Arabidopsis thaliana: one gene and its partners. The protein of the gene in region 1 interacts with the protein of each later gene in a pairwise test. Each region holds a gene or a part of one and is shown in the gene's direction. Other genes may lie near its edges.

Evidence for each region.
Region 2: the proteins of ERF12 (region 1) and LSD1 interact in binary tests that used the Arabidopsis thaliana proteins (3 or more experiments, as listed by UniProt).
Region 3: the proteins of ERF12 (region 1) and LBD4 interact in binary tests that used the Arabidopsis thaliana proteins (3 or more experiments, as listed by UniProt).
Region 4: the proteins of ERF12 (region 1) and TCP3 interact in binary tests that used the Arabidopsis thaliana proteins (3 or more experiments, as listed by UniProt).

What each region holds. Positions count from the first base shown.
Region 1 is NC_003070.9:9,949,801-9,953,682, forward strand, and holds ERF12 (ERF domain protein 12), read left to right. Parts: upstream 1-1,961; 5' UTR 1,962-2,133; coding exon 2,134-2,703; 3' UTR 2,704-3,305; downstream 3,306-3,882.
Region 2 is NC_003075.7:11,002,547-11,007,309, forward strand, and holds LSD1 (LSD1 zinc finger family protein), read left to right. Parts: upstream 1-1,970; 5' UTR 1,971-2,168; intron 2,169-2,288; 5' UTR 2,289-2,350; exon of another isoform or gene 2,351-2,465; coding exon of another isoform or gene 2,466-2,480; coding exon 2,481-2,604; intron 2,605-2,693; coding exon 2,694-2,798; intron 2,799-2,883; coding exon 2,884-2,915; intron 2,916-3,010; coding exon 3,011-3,056; intron 3,057-3,287; coding exon 3,288-3,427; coding exon of another isoform or gene 3,428-3,448; exon of another isoform or gene 3,449-3,527; coding exon 3,528-3,599; intron 3,600-3,691; coding exon 3,692-3,763; intron 3,764-3,850; coding exon 3,851-3,892; 3' UTR 3,893-4,242; downstream 4,243-4,763. Other genes in the region: TSF (PEBP (phosphatidylethanolamine-binding protein) family protein), read right to left, coding at 219-419; AT4G20390 (Uncharacterized protein family (UPF0497)), read left to right, coding at 4,522-4,733.
Region 3 is NC_003070.9:11,211,190-11,215,294, forward strand, and holds LBD4 (LOB domain-containing protein 4), read left to right. Parts: upstream 1-1,768; 5' UTR 1,769-1,917; coding exon 1,918-2,094; intron 2,095-2,501; coding exon 2,502-2,843; 3' UTR 2,844-3,378; downstream 3,379-4,105. Other genes in the region: PSAF (photosystem I subunit F), read right to left, coding at 3,822-4,105.
Region 4 is NC_003070.9:19,849,198-19,853,645, reverse strand, and holds TCP3 (TEOSINTE BRANCHED 1, cycloidea and PCF transcription factor 3), read left to right. Parts: upstream 1-1,920; 5' UTR 1,921-2,210; coding exon 2,211-3,386; 3' UTR 3,387-3,444; exon of another isoform or gene 3,445-3,445; intron 3,446-3,538; 3' UTR 3,539-3,858; downstream 3,859-4,448. UniProt on the Arabidopsis thaliana protein: Plays a pivotal role in the control of morphogenesis of shoot organs by negatively regulating the expression of boundary-specific genes such as CUC genes, probably through the induction of miRNA (e.g. miR164). Participates in ovule development.

The sequences.
Region 1 (3,882 bases):
TTATTTTTTACCTCTAATCGAAATTGTGAATCACACTGACTAGTAAAAAGAGCTAGCTGATGGTAAAACGTAAAAGTTACTACCTGTAAGTAATTCCTGGAAAAAAAGAAAGATAAGAAAGCAACAAAATAGTCAAAAAAGAGGCGCGAAAGTGCAGTCAGATCAGGTGTGGGGAGAGAGGAGGAGGGGGTTCATGGAATGAGAAGAAGACACGTAAGCAGAGAGACATCAAAGTCATGATTTCGTGTGAGTGTTGAGTTGTGTTCTGTTTTTGTAGGAGGCAGCCAGTCAGTACCACTTGATGACGATGCTCCTTTTGTCCTAGCTGCTACTACAAAGACACGTCATAAAGCTCTTATGTATCACAGGCTCACGTGAACACGAAAGCCACATTCACATTTTTCTCCAAAATATTTCTTGAAAATGATTATTAGTACTGTAGTAGCTTATATAGCTTTGGGGTATCTCTCTTTTTTTTACTGTGCTTATAGGTAGGGTTAATTTAAATAATTAGATATGTCAGAGAGAGAGAAGTCAGACATCAGAGTTCGCACGTGTATAAATTTTGTTAGATATGGACCAATGCATTTGTTCAATCAAAACGACAGACCCTAAGCCTTGTCACGTGAAAGGAAACACAGATTTTTTTATTTATTTTTAAATAACCCTAAAACCAAACAAAAACATCTTACAAAATGTCAAGAAATAGAGAAGTTAAAAGACAAATTAATCTAATAAAACTTCAGTTGATAAAACAAAAACAAAAAACCTCTAACTAATTTGTTTTAATTCATTGTCTATTACTGAAAATTATAAGCCACTTCAATTGCTATAAATTTTTGACTCCTATGATTACTATATATTTTACACAATATAAAGACTTAAACTACGTCACTTTTTAGAGGGAAAAGAAAGAGCCTATGTAATCTACTCTATTAGTATAGACTAGAGAGTATAGTAAGTTTGCATAAGATGGGCTAATGAATTTTGGACAAAAAGAAAAACAAAATCAGTCAGAGCTAAAGATAGAGTAGTTGTGTCAAGTAACTTTATTTAATGATCTCCTTGTAGCCTTGTCCTCGTGCATCATAAATATATATGGGTGCCAATAAAACCCCAAAAGAGAGCATTTAAATACTTGTCAAATAATAGAGTGAAAGATACAAAAGATAGAGAGAGATGGCTATTATCAGTACTAGGGATTACGTCAGCATCCCTATGCCACAGGTTCAGTCAAAGAGGCGGCCCATTTTTCTTTCCTCTTCGTAAATGTACAAGATTATTTATTTTTAGTTCTTTTTTCTTTGATCATTTTGTATCAATGGTTGCTGTGAGAAAAAGCATCGAGATTGTTACGATCGAAAACAAAGTACTTGAATTATGAAAAAATGTTTGGAGAGCCTATGCAAAAATGATCTTTCTATCTTCTTTTTATAATAGCATAAATTTCATAGTATGGCATTATCGTCACTAGCAAGTAATGAGTTAATTTACCATAAGTTACAACGGTAATGAGGTTGTTTGGAGAGTAGAACTAAAATATTTTATTTCTAACCATTACCTAACAAATCTTTTTTATATAACAGAAGTTGTAAATGGTAGATAAGAAAACAGTATTAGCACTCAAAGGAATGATTAGCATTGTTTTCTTTCATGTCCTAGAATAAGTCCACTCACCACTAGAAGTATTCACTTTATGAGAAATCCTATTGTATTTTTTCAAATACATCAACTTATTAAAACAACATTATTTTGGTGTAGAACACCCACGTGTAACAATCTCTCAGCATACCACCGTCACATCACCCAACAGCAAAAGATCGAACGGTGCTTGATTCTTGCAAACCCCAGAGAAAACCTCGATCCTAGAAATCAAACACTATTCAGTTTTGTTTTTACTATTAACTTGCCATATATATTACGTATAGGCAACAAATAAAGATAGATAATCGTCAAAAGAAGCCGAGGATTACGGGTGTTCTCAAGCGGCCCTACAAACACACCTCTTGCTCTTTAAACTCACTCACTCTCTCTCTCATTTGGGTCAAACGAGCCAACAAAGCAAAACCTCTTTCTTCTCTTCTCCACTTTCTCTCTAGATTCTCTCATATTTCCCCTCTTGAGAGTCTAACAATGGCGTCAACGACGTGTGCAAGAGAGGTGCATTACAGAGGAGTCAGAAAGAGACCTTGGGGTCGCTACGCTGCTGAGATACGAGATCCTTGGAAGAAAACTAGGGTTTGGTTAGGCACTTTCGACACTCCCGAAGAAGCTGCTCTTGCTTACGACGGCGCTGCTCGTTTCCTCCGTGGTATCAAAGCCAAAACTAACTTCCCTTCTCCTCTCTCTCTCGACCTCAACCACCTCCCTTCCGCTCCCTCAGCCGCAACCGCCGCCGCAAATAACCAACCCCACCAACACCAACAGCTCTGGTTCGCTGCGCCTCCTCCTGTTCCTCCAAGCTCCGACCATCATCACCAACACCACCGCATTTTTCTCCGAACCGGTGTGCTAAACGACAAAACTTCAGATTACTCTTCTACAGAAGCGCCGCTTTACTTCACCTCCTCGCCTAACACAGCCACGTCATCGCCTGGTTATCAAGTGGTTGGGTTTCCGATGATGAATTCTTCTCCTTCCCCTGTTACGGTGAGACGTGGCTTAGCCATTGACCTCAACGAGCCTCCGCCGCTTTGGCTTTGAAAACAAACGATAAAGATGGATATAGCGGCGCCGTTTTGCCTACTTTTCTATACGGCGCCGTTTGAGACCACTTTCGGTGGAACTACTTTAGTTTCTTTTTTTAGCAAATAGTATCTTTTTGTTAGAGTTAGTAGACTTGTTTTTATAATTTAATCCTTCTTTTGTTCGTTATGTAAGAGTCGGAGATCGATTGTTGTTGTGAGATCCATATGTTGCGGAAAAAACAAGAAACTTCTTAATTAGCAACACAAAAACTTAACAACGTCTGAACGTGGATCTAATTATGTTTGTGGATCGTGTTACGACCGTCGCTTATGTCGGTTTCGAGGGGGTTTTAAAAATCTTATCGTATTCTATGGCGTGTCGTGAAGTACGGACTGACTTGTGCAGCTGTTTGCTTTGCTAGTGTCCTGTTTGACTCACGCGCCTCTCTCTTAAATCACGACAAAAGACGGACTGAGAAAAGAAGGAAACAAACAAAAGAGATAGAGACTAATGAGAGACGTAAATGCTGAGCAAGCGTGTGAGTTTGGACTGGCTTATTCACTTACGGACAAGATATGTGTATTATGAGTCTTGAGTTTGTAAATAAATTGTATTTTTTTATTTATTTTGAAAATTTTCATATGAATTCGAACAAAAGTTTTCTGATAAAATTAGAGGAAGTTTAATTGTCCTATAATTTTTCTGCTCATGTTTACCAATCTTATATATGTTATGCGTGTATACATATATATATAGAAGCATCTAAAAATATAAAATAAATAAAATTTTTGACGGTCCTATATAGATAAATATCAAATTCACATAACAAATTTATCTACAGAAGTCTTAAAATAACGCAAATTTCAGTAGTAAATGAAACAAACATGTTTGATATAATCAAATATCATAAGAAGTCAAATTAATTAACTAAAGGAGATCTCACGTAGCGAAATCAAAACTTTCATGCAGATTGTGAAGATTTTATGTTTATGTTTTATATGTAGAACCGGAATCGTGTAGTTTTATGAGACTATAAAACAGTCATAGAACTGTTACATGTGTTAGACACTTAGACATATGTATTGACTAAACAAAGATCATGCATTATGCATATTGCTTTCATAAAAGATCAAATTCTAACAGTTTCGTTGCAACTTCTTTTTATCGTATTTCATAAGCGATTTGTAATCGACC
Region 2 (4,763 bases), on another chromosome or scaffold:
TAATCAAACCAATAACAGTTATGCATGCAAGAAGTTAGAGGAAACGCAGCAGGTATATAGATGAGGCTACGAAAGAAAAGAATGATCAAATCTAGTTACGCTTAAATTTGGATATATCTAAGGTTTCTTCGTCAATATATGGAGCTTACGAAAACGAAAGAGTGAGCTACGAGGAACTAAATCAATGAAGATAAGAGGAATGAAGGAGAGAAGATCACCAAGGTGTAGAAATTTCTGAAGTCGTCTCCTCCAATCTCCACTATTGGTTTGTTCAGAACTTGAGAAGGCCTTAGATCCAAGCCATTAGTAACCTCTCTATGGCCATAAGTGACCTTAAGAGAGACCAACCTCGTGAAAGGATCAAGAACATCTCCAACAACACTGCCGACCACAAGAGGATCTCTACGACTTAAAGACATATTTATCTTGGATCTCAAGTATCTCAATCAAATGTTTTGCTTCTTACCTTATGAACCCTTACTTGCTATTCTTTATATAACGTTTTGGGAATTGCAATAATTAGCTATTTAGCTTTATTCTCTCCAATGAAATCATTACCAGGGTCTTTTCGTGTATAGTTTCGAGAATCTACAACTCGTTCAACGTACGTATATCACTTATAATTCATGTTTTTTTTTTCTTTCCTTTTTTCTAAATTTATAGTATTCTTATTCCAAAACCCACCAGTATAAAACAGAAATAATCATATTCCAAATTATACATCATCCACTTGTTTCTTGCTAGCCACTAGTATGTAATTTATTCTGACTTATCATTGTAACTTCATGAACTATTTAAAATAATGTCACAAGCATATAATATGCTGCATATTTGCGTACGTCACGCATTTTGCGTCACATGTCACTCATTTAAATAGTTAAGGACACTACATTACACCGATTATGTATGATGTTAATGCATTTTAGAATAACTCCTTCAACCTAAACCATCATATAAAAGTATATATGCTCCAGATAAATTGACGCCATAATTGTTCACATATCTGGTTGGTGTGTACATACGTACTAGACTCTTTTTTTTCTTTTCTTAATGTAGTACTAAACTTAATTAATACCATCAAAAATATCAATTTAACAAAACAAACCAGTAAAACTTTTAAAACAATGGAGTAAATCAAATAAAACAAGTAAATTAACAAATAGACACAAGGTAACAGAAGTATAATAACGACAGAAAAGTGAACAATTGGCCAAAAAATTCGTTTTCAAACGTGATTTCAAAATTGTCTCCAAATCTTAAATGTTGATAAAGTAATTTTTTTAAAATTCATTATACCTTTCAAAAACAAGTGTATTACCTAAAAGCTCAACCGTGTATTCTTACACTCCAAACAAATTTAGTTCCCCAAGTTTGGAAGACAAAAATTTCTAAGAAATTTCTGACAAAACACATGAGAAATAAACCGATAAAGACTTCTAAAAACTATTGCAGACCAGTTTCATTTGCTGACCACAAAAAGTCATGAGAATACAATTAGCTCAGTGATTCTTGATATTTCTGGTACCTAACAAAAAGAAAAGTGTGTGAGGTTAGATGGCTATGATTTTTGCTCTCCAATTTATTGTCCATTTCCCCAATTTGTAATATGAAATGCGCAAATTACTCTTCTTCCGATATGAATAAGCAAACGAAAACATACGTGGGACGTTATGTTCAGAACATTTGATTAAAGTTTATATGCGATTTTCATTTATTTATTATGAATTTTTTGTTTGGCAGCATGTACGATTTTTCATTTAACACACAAATATTATAGAATTTTCATTGGTTCAAAGGGGTAGACAAAAAATAATTTAATATTATTACACCATTTGCAGAAAATTAGAAAATATATTTTTACCCATAATTAATTGATCTATGGACGTATGCTTGGCATAAAAATTCATATTTAATTAGCAGAAGCCAATCGCTGCGTTTGTATATACGCGTTTATGACCGAGAAAAAAACCCTTACGCGTCATGTAAAAAAAAAAGAAGCGTAAATTACGAAAAACAGAGAGATAAATCCGGGCATTGAGATTTTGGAGATAGAGAGAGAGAAAAATCGAAATCTATTGTCTATCTCCTCAATTTGGATTGGATTTTCTGCATATCATCGCTCTAGCTTTCGCGGGTTTTGGATTCGATTCCTTACCCTTCTCCAATCGGTAAGAACAAGCTCCAAAGTTTGTTCCTTTTTTTCAATTTTCGCCAATTCTGTAATCTCATCATTGTCCTTGTTTGTTTGTTTGATTCAACACACAATTCTTGTTTTGATTTGGATGCAGAAGTTTTTGGCTTTGAATTGGATTTGGGTTTCGTTCCAAAATCAGCTCTTTTTGTTAATCAGGTGAGTTTTTAGGTATTTGAATCTCCAATTGCTTCCTTGCAATGACTAAGTATTGTGAAATGTTTAGGGTTTCATCTGTGTGGGTCTTGTTTTGAAGCAATTTGTGTGTGTTTGGATGAAAGTAGCAGATATGCAGGACCAGCTGGTGTGTCATGGTTGTAGGAATTTATTGATGTATCCTAGAGGAGCATCTAATGTGCGTTGTGCGTTATGTAACACTATCAACATGGTTCCTCCTCCTCCTCCACCTCACGGTATCGATTTCTTTGTTGAATTTGAATTGAGGATGAGGTTAATATGCTCTGCAATTGTATTATAACTTGGGTTCTGATTCTGAATACAGACATGGCACACATTATATGTGGTGGTTGTAGAACAATGCTTATGTATACGCGTGGGGCTAGTAGCGTAAGATGCTCTTGCTGTCAAACTACGAACCTTGTGCCAGGTATATTAATAATATCGTGACATCCATATCAATCCTTTTAAAGACCATGTATTATATTGCTTTATAAGGTCTTTTAGTCCTTTAGAATCTTCTTTCACACTTTTGTTTGATAACATTGTTCTGTGGAGATGATGCTTACGTAACGTATTTCCACTTTTCCCAAAGATGTATATGAATCTGAATTCTGAAAATATCTGGGATTTGTAAAGCAGCTGAAAGTACTTAAAACAAAGCTTTTAGATGGTCCCGGTGGACTAGGTAACTACTTGTTAGAGCTAGTAGGGTTTATTATTGTTTTGTTTGATCTACCATTAGATTCTTATCTTTAATTAGCGTCTAAGCTGTTGTCATTTAGCTGTATGATTATCATTTATCCATGACTGCTTAAGAACATTGCTGATTACTTCGTTCATTAGTATTTCTTGGATTTTTCTAGCATTAACATTGCTTGTTTTCTGAATCTGTGCGTGTCTTTTTTGAAATCGACAGCGCACTCCAATCAGGTTGCCCATGCTCCTTCCAGTCAGGTTGCGCAGATCAATTGTGGGCATTGTCGGACGACCCTCATGTATCCTTACGGTGCATCATCCGTCAAATGCGCTGTTTGTCAATTCGTAACTAACGTTAATGTGATTATTCCTATCTATTAAGCCACCTCTGCATGGTTGAGTTAAGTATAGAGATCTTTCTGTTGGAAATTTTCATTTCTGATTCATTTTGCATCCTTAGATGAGCAATGGAAGGGTACCTCTCCCAACTAACCGGCCAAATGGAACAGCTTGTCCCCCCTCTACATCAACTGTGAGTTATCAAATTATGAATTTGTAATAGTTCTGTATATTCTTATGGAACTGGTACTTACTCTGTTCATCGATTTTTCATTTTACCAACAGTCAACACCACCCTCTCAGACCCAAACCGTTGTTGTAGAAAACCCCATGTCCGTTGATGAAAGCGGAAAGTTGGTGAGTATTTCTATCACCTGTGTTCTTCTTCTTATTTACCACATTAGAGGAAGATATGACAAAGTGACTGAAACACACAAATTGCAGGTGAGCAATGTTGTTGTTGGAGTGACAACTGACAAAAAGTAATCAAGAATGAGTGAGATCTTAAAGATCAAATCCAAATTCTTCCTCTATTCCTGCGTTTGGTTTGTGCATATTACATACGCGGAAAAACTGTATGTTATATATCTCTTGACTCCTTTTTAACCCAAGAGAAAAAGCTTATCAGAATCTCTTGTTACTGCATTATTGGGGTTTATTCAAAGTTGAAGACACAAGGTTTTTGCTCGAATAATTTGGCATTCTTTTGCTCCATGGAACTTGACCTTCTCTTCTGTTTGTTGACTTCTAAAACTCCATCGGCCCTTGTGGCATTGTTAATGTATGTATGAATATAATCTGATACACCAACCAATCATTAAGATTTGGGTTTGAAATCTGTCTCTTCCGTGGATGAGATATGCTACATGTCACAAGAACTGGTCTTAGCTTTGGTAGATAAGACTTGTCTTAGAGCAAGTCTTGAAATCTGGAAATCTATTTTGCAGTAATCTTGTCACAACAACCATAACCTAATCAGTCAGTACCCTCCAAGAACATTAAAGTTAGATGATCCGACAAAACCTCTCAACAAGACCAAACTCTTTCCATATAAATACTCTTTAACACTGACACAAAGTTTCATCACTTTCTCTTGATCACTCACTGCATCAACAATGGCCAGAGAGAAGATTGTGGTGGCTGGTGGTACCACAAAGAGCTGGAAACTACTCTTGGGGCTGAGAATATTTGCATTCATGGCTACTTTAGCTGCAGCCATTGTAATGTCACTAAACAAAGAGACAAAGACCTTGGTTGTGGCCACCATTGGTACTGTTCCTATTAAAGCCACTTTAACCGCTAAGTTTCAGCACACACCGGCTTTTGTGTAAGCGAGTAAAACCCTATACGAAATCGA
Region 3 (4,105 bases), 1.3 Mb from region 1:
TGTTTTTTTTTGTCGTCCTTGTAAAATGTTCTACATTCGTCATTTTCAGGCTATCTTTGATTTCGAAAGCTGTGGGCGTTTTCTTTTTTTAATTTTTTTAATTTTTTTTTTTTTTTGTCTTTTTCTACGAAAATAAAATAGCGTGCACTGTATTGTTTCTTTCAACTTTATTTTTTGACTAGTGAAAGACTAGACATTTTGTTGCCCTGCCCCTATATTTTTTGTGTTTATTTTAAGGTTGTTTTTTCTCTTTTTATAATGACCGTAAAATGAGTTTTTACAAAATCTGCTTCAAATATGTAATGAAAACCTTGATAATATGTAAATGTACTAAAAACAAAATCTTGATATGGGTACATGTGAAAATAGTATATTTCTGTTCTAAGAATATACTGTTTTATGTTCTAAAATATCAACAAATAGATATCTTTGCATTTTTTTTTATACATCAATATTAGTATTACCTACATTGTCTAAGAGATGTAACCCAACTTATGTCGCAACTAGAACTACATCTCAGAAATCACCGAGCCGAGAGAAAATTGTAAGAGTCCTCGACCAGCAAAACGTAGGAACATCAACTCAAAGCAGTCGAGAATAAGAACCACTGACTTGCATCAAAACAGAAGATCTAACCACACCACACAGAATCCGAAAAGAAGACATCCACCATCGTTTAAACTTTCAACCCTTGACCCAACCACCGGTGATAAAGACTTGTCCATTATAGTTTACTAAAGTTTATGATCAAACTTAAAATATCTGTTGTTAGATTGATACCTCTAATTCCTTTGAATTGCTTCTTAGATTTCCACTTTACCCTTCCACGATTTTTAAGCAATGGAAAATTAAGTTTCATTTGTTTCAGATTTTAATATTAATCCCCTTCTATGCAAATTGAGGGACCACGTAGAAAGTTGTGAGAATCTCAATACACAAAAGATATAGAAACAATGATTACATGCACAAGCACGAGGCCATAAATTTCCTTATCCTATACACATTTTCAATAAAGATGTAACATTCCAAACAGAAAACCCTCTTGTAGCTCACTCTACAAAAAAAAGAGTATAGAATTCCAATATTAAAGTTTATAGGTCGACTATTTCAAAACCAATTGCTATAAAGTAAATTGATTAATATTTTTATACTCTCTTCGATTTATAATATAAGTTGTTTTGGACCAATTTTTTTGTTTTACAATTAAATTGTTTTTAAGTTTTTATGCAAACTATATATTTATTTTAATATTTTATAATTATTTATATTATGCAGTCTCTTTTGTGATTGGTTGAACTTTTTAAAAGTAAATATTCTTAATCTTCGTACTTTTAGGTAAAACAACTTATATTGTGAAACGGAGGGAGTATATCATTTACAATTTCTCTTTATTTAGTTTTGTGGTGATTCCGAATATTAATTACAACTTGTACCATTTAATTCAACCATATTCGAAGAAAACATTAAAGGCAAAACAAATTAAGGGGAAAAAGAAATCAAAAGTTAAAAAAAAAAATTAAGACCAATGAGAATAGATAAGGGGTAAAAGACAAAAAGAGAATATAAAAAAAACAAATAGCATTTGGCGCCAAAAGTAAAACTAAAATGGTCATGTCACGTGATGTTAATTTTTGCTCTACGACCAAAGCAAAACAAACCTAAAGTTTTCCAAATCTCTGGGTCCCACTCTCAGATGTGCTGACTTTTATTTTTTTTACTTTTGTCTTAAATCTTTGGAAATTTTCAGTTTTAATTTAATTTAATTCATCTCTCTTTCTCACTCTATAAATCCCCACAGATCCGTCACACTTCACCTAGAGACCCTCCCACAGCTTTCTCGATAACTGACAATCCAACGGTTGAGATTCAGTTCTTCTAGATAAATTCACATATCCAAAGGACACGTGGCGGCGAGAGATGAAAGAAAGTAGCCGGAAGCAAGGAGCTGCGTCACCGTGTGCTGCGTGTAAGCTTTTGCGGCGGCGGTGCGCTCAAGATTGCGTTTTCTCGCCGTATTTTCCGGCCGATGAGCCTCAGAAATTTGCTAATGTTCATAGAGTGTTCGGTGCTAGCAACGTCAACAAGATGCTTCAGGTTTCTTTCTTCTTGTTCTTCTTAAGAATATCTAAAACGTGCTTACTCATATGTTGGGTTAGGTTTAATTAGGATGATTTTCTTGTTTCTTATTTTAGATGAGACATTACTATCATTTCCATAACTTTTTATTGACAACTACCACATGGGCCGACCCGTTTATATTATAAGTTTAGGGATTTAAAAACAAAATTGTTGAATTTTAAGAATTTAGGAATATGTTACATTTATTAGCTGATGTTGAATTTTAACCATATTAACTTTTGTTAGCTAATGTTAATGATATGATTTACATTTCTTAGCTAGCTGATGTAGAGTCTACATTTGAGATGGATTATATAAATTTTATATAGTCTTGCGAGATTAATTGGTCTAGTGGCTGACAAAATGTTTTAAAAACTCAACAGGAATTACCAATCCACCAGCGAGGGGACGCTGTGAGCAGCATGGTTTACGAGGCTAATGCAAGAGTGCGGGATCCGGTTTACGGTTGCGTTGGGGCAATTTCGTCCCTCCAGCAACAGATAGATGTGTTGCAAGCTCAGCTAGCTCTAGCTCAAGCTGAGGTGGTGCATCTACGTGTACGCCAGTCGACTAATTTCCCAGGGCACGGACTATGCCCGGATAGTCCGAGTAGCAGCGGGTCACCGTCTTCGAAGCAAGTGAGTCCACAGGACAACAAGGGCATGTTTAGCCATATGGACATTGTGGATGAAGCCAGTTTGGGAGAGTCTATGTGGTCTTGCTAGTCAATAATGCTCTCTTTCTGCTACTGCAATTTCCTCTTCCTTTTTTGGGAAATTTCGGGATTATTATATATTAAATTTAGGGGTAGGATATGAAAATGCTCTGTTTTGACTACAGAGTGAAATTATTAACATGATATAGATACATAAAAATACTAAATATATTTATATATTATAAATCTCTCTCTATATATTTATTAGTATTTGTAACTTTGTAATTCCGGGGTATTTGGGATTTGGTGTATGTGTAGGACCTTTGGATCATGATCCGGTAGGGTTATTTTGATCATTTCCAACCGAGGAGGGATCTTTGTTATTGACCTAATGTAAATTTGTGAGATATATTATTTATCTATATCTATATACAATTATGATCATGTAACCCATGGTGTGTGCTTGACTCTGTGAGCATATTATCGTGTAATGGTCATCTTTGATACTAGCTAAGTCTAGCTTAGCAATTAGCACTAAGCACTTGTATGGGCCTGAATTTTTATTATGCAAACTTATGGCCCATTTGTCTTTATTTTTTGGTTTCCTTGCAAACATTTGCCATTTGATAGTCGCTGATAGAATCGCTCGCATATGAAGGAAACAGAAAGACCGGACCGGAGCATGTGCTTGTGGTAAGAAATTTACAGTGAGCTTAAGAAGAAACACAAGTAATTTAGTCTATTATAGTTCAAGAGCTTCTCCTGCATTCATGCAAATGCAAGAGTGGTAAAATAGCATTATACTAAGTAAATTTGGTTATGCTCCTGTGCGTTATATCAGGATATTCCCTTCAAGCAATTGAGCTTCACATAGCAATCACTAGACCGCAAAATCACAATCTGTCAATCACCATTTTAGCCATAATTCTTTCTACTTGCGCAATCCAAATTTTATAAGGTTTTCGACAATGCATTGTTTTTCAATAAGTACAATGGAAAACAAAGAGATTAGAGAGAGTAACACAAAAGCAGAAAACAAGTTCCCTTTTTAAACATCCTTAGCAATGAGATCACCATTGAGAAACTCTCTGTAGGCAGCAACGGGCCAAATGAAACCACGGAAGATGATCCGACTAGCCAAAGGAACATCGATGATGATCTCTTTCATCGCGGGTTTCTTCTCACCACTAATAGCTATTAAGTAGCTTCTTCCAACCCACCCGATCCATCCAGCAATGTAGAGGAAAAGAATCCCTGGAGTAATGAACTCTCCCCAATGCCGCTGGTCTCCGTTCACTATCAAGTGCGGTAAACCGTCTGACCCGCATAACA
Region 4 (4,448 bases), 9.9 Mb from region 1:
TTTTCACAGTGCTTTAATTTCTTTTATTACGGAAAAAAATAAGACAATGGAAATAAACGAAATAAAACTAGGAAATTGACAGAAAAAATTGTGTTTATTTCTTTATCGGAAAAACAAGTTGACAAAAATAAATGAAAGGAATAAATATTGGGGAAAATAACTTAAGAGAGAGAGATAAGAGGAAATGACTATGAGGGTGATGGGGAGTGTACTTACTGACACACATGCGATCGAAAAACACTAAAAGCCTATAGGGTATATTCGTAAATTTATTTAGACTACACTTGGTTGAGTAGGTGCAATGGGAAACATTTATTTGAAATTTGATTCCATCTTTGCCTTACATATCGATACGTCATCTTTTTATGTGTGCATTGTCATTATTTGATGATCAAGAATATGGTACCAAATACATTATATATCAGAAAAGTTCGTATGACTACGGGTATTTAATTAAAAATACAGTACATGCATGGTCGGTGTGTATAATGGAGAAGTAGTTAGAAAGAGAATTTGTGGTAATGACAAAAAAATGGAAAACAATAATTGATTGTGTCCTAAACCAGTGAACCGTGCGATATTTCGTGCCTTTAAATTTGATGTTGCATGTCGTAGAACGATGTTTTGATAATTTCTTCTCTTGGGAAGGTAAAAGAAAAAATTATGGATTCAATGCAGATTGGCTCGATGAGTAGGAAACGCACTTACAAAAAACATAAATCTCCTATCTACAATCACATATTTCTTCTTATATCTCTCTTGAAATCTCTACATGAATCACACCTAAAATGTTCATATTTAATCACATACCATACTTGTATTAGTATGTCAAATGCTCGGGATTTCCTTGTTAACAAAAAAGAAAAAAAAAACTGATTGAGTTACCAAATTACGTATATATACACATTTTTATCTTTGTTTAAAGGAAATTCAAGTTAATTTTAAACTAAAACTATGTACAAGTATGTATCTCTATTATTTTCGTTTTCCATCTGAAACTTTACTACGTTTGGTTAATTAAAAGTGGGATTGACGAACAGTGGAGTTCGAGAACAGATAGTGGAAAGGAGCATAGACAATGGTTGATTATAGGGATACTGTCGAATCCTACGGATACTGGTGATGCATTTTACAGGGTGTAACCTCTAAAACCAATACAATTTGATTCGATGAAAATAATACTTTATTTGTTTAAAATAATACCATCAATATTAGTTTATACCGCCCAATTATTAGTGTCTCCAACTCTCCAACAGATCTAAAAGCTTTACTTTTTAGTTTTTATTATAAAAGAAATCTTCTTGTATTGTCTTTTTTTCCAACAACCCAAAACCTTTACTACCTCAAAAGTTCTGTATTAATATTTTCTAACACAGTACAGAACAATCTTTGACTTGGTAAAATTTGGGTTTATTAGTGCTTATAGTTTCTATCATCTTTAACAAAAAAAAATAGTGGTAGTCAGAACCAAACCTAAGAGGACTATGTATATGTGTTGATATTCTTACAGTAACCTCTACCAAAATATATCCATTGTAATGTATATAGCTAATACAATTCGAAATGTCATGTAAAATATTTCCACATGATGAATCGGACAAAAGCTTTTTGTTTTTCATTTAGAAAAACCATAAAATATATAATATAAAATAAGAAAACACTTTAAAAATGAAATAAAAGCACAAGTGATGATGATGAGTATCAGAGAGCTCTTTTTATGACCAAACACACTCCTTCCATTACCATTTCCCTCTCTTCCCCAAACCCCAAAATCTCTTCCTTTTTTTACCGTTACTGTAAATTTTCCGGCCAGAAACAAAAAATTAAAAAGAGCTTTCCTGGATTCTCGTTTAGTCAATTCCACATCTCTCTATCTCTTCTCTCTCTTCTTGCTTCCTCTGTTTTTGCTTCTTGAATTCTCAGAAACAGAGACAAATTCTAAAAAAGAAACAATCTTTAGACAAAAGAAGAGAAATTTAGTCATGGGTTAGTCTGCAAAATTCAATTACGTCTTCTTCTTCTTCTTCTTCTTCATCTTTGATTTGTTGGCGTGTTTAGGGTTTGGGATTTGGAGGAGAGGCAAAATGTTGAATTAAATAAATCGAACGACTCTGGATTCCTCGGCGGTTAACGACCGCCGTCGCCGCCGCCGTCATAATCCAACCACCACCACCATCAACGACCTTGAATTTCCACAATATGCTTCATCAATGGCACCAGATAACGACCATTTCTTAGATTCTCCGTCGCCGCCTCTTCTAGAGATGAGACACCACCAATCAGCGACGGAGAACGGTGGTGGTTGCGGCGAGATTGTGGAGGTACAAGGAGGTCACATTGTTCGGTCAACAGGAAGAAAAGACAGACATAGTAAAGTATGTACAGCGAAAGGACCACGTGACCGGCGCGTGAGACTCTCAGCTCCGACGGCGATTCAATTCTACGATGTTCAAGATAGACTTGGTTTTGATCGACCAAGTAAAGCTGTTGATTGGCTTATTACTAAAGCTAAATCCGCCATTGATGATCTTGCTCAGCTTCCTCCTTGGAACCCCGCCGATACTCTTCGTCAACACGCCGCCGCTGCTGCTAACGCTAAACCCAGAAAAACCAAAACTTTAATTTCTCCGCCACCGCCACAACCGGAAGAAACAGAGCATCATCGAATCGGAGAAGAAGAAGATAACGAATCGAGTTTTCTTCCGGCGTCAATGGATTCTGATTCGATAGCTGACACTATAAAGTCGTTTTTTCCGGTAGCTTCAACGCAACAGAGCTATCATCATCAGCCACCGTCACGAGGCAATACACAGAACCAAGATCTTCTTCGTCTCTCGCTTCAATCTTTCCAAAATGGTCCACCTTTTCCTAATCAAACAGAACCTGCTCTGTTCTCCGGCCAGAGCAATAATCAGTTAGCGTTTGACTCATCGACGGCAAGCTGGGAACAGAGTCATCAGTCACCGGAATTTGGAAAGATACAGAGACTAGTGTCATGGAACAACGTCGGAGCAGCTGAATCCGCCGGAAGTACCGGAGGATTTGTGTTTGCTTCTCCGTCGTCGTTGCATCCAGTTTATAGCCAAAGTCAGCTTTTATCACAGAGGGGTCCCCTTCAGTCCATTAACACACCTATGATTCGTGCTTGGTTTGATCCTCACCATCATCATCATCATCATCAGCAGTCCATGACCACTGACGATCTCCACCATCATCATCCCTACCATATCCCTCCCGGGATTCACCAATCTGCTATTCCAGGCATTGCATTTGCTTCAAGTGGTGAATTCTCCGGTTTTCGTATACCAGCACGGTTTCAAGGCGAACAAGAGGAGCACGGCGGCGACAACAAGCCGTCCTCTGCTTCATCCGATTCTCGCCATTAAACAAGTTCCAAAAACACATAAGATTGTGCAACACAACAGGTTTCTTTTCATATTCCAGGTTTGAAGTTTTTCGAAAACAACACCCATTTGTGAAAGTCTTGTCTTTTAACCATTCATCAAATTGATAACTTACATTGTTTTTAACGTTTCAGGGCGCTTCGAATGCGTGGAATAGTGAAGGCGGTTTTCGTTGTTGTGTGTTTCGAATATCCAAATGGCCTATAAATCTGATCAACAGTTTCAGGTTCTTCTTAAGTCTTTAAAAGCCTAGGCCTTGGTTAATTTGAATTCATCTTGTATCAATTAGAGAACGTTCTGTAAGTTCAATTCTGTTTTACAATGTTTAGCTCTAGCTACATGAGCTCACATCTTGTTTGTTGTAACTTGTTCTACAATTACTTGTCCTTTATTTATGTTCTTGTGTTGGAAACCTTTAACCCCACTTGAAGCTAAAGTCTTTTGTTTGCCCTTTATTCCATGTGGGTTTAATGCTTTCCCCAAGAAATATCTCATTTTGTTTGCCAATCCCAAAGAGGAACAGTGCTCTATCCATCTACATCAATCATCATATTGTTTGGTTTAGCGTTTATTAGAAGTATTATCTTCCCAATCTCTGTGGTTATAAACTTTCTTTTGACTAGCAAATGGAATTTGAAACAATCATTTCTCTTGTGTTTCTTAGTCTCTTCTTTTGGCCCCATAGATGAAGAGTCACTTTCCATAGACAGGGTTTGCATGTGTTGCTTCTTTTGGAGTTTAGAGTTTAGAATTATGGGTTTCTTTTAAAATTTGTTTAGTGGATGCAAGCTCTGATACTTAGTAAGAGTTTTGGCCCATGATCCACGGATCCCTATATAAATATCAGAGAAATGGTTTTTGACTTCTTTTCATAGAATCTTCCTCAATACTAGATTTCAAGATTTTATGAAAAAGGAGCAAAAGAGAATTTGATGTCTAGTGTCAAATAACTGTCTACTTTAAACAAGAGTGTAGGAGATCCACCGAACTTGAGTGTGATGTAGTCTTTAATAAGTAAAAAAGAATAGGACATTAGATTAGTAG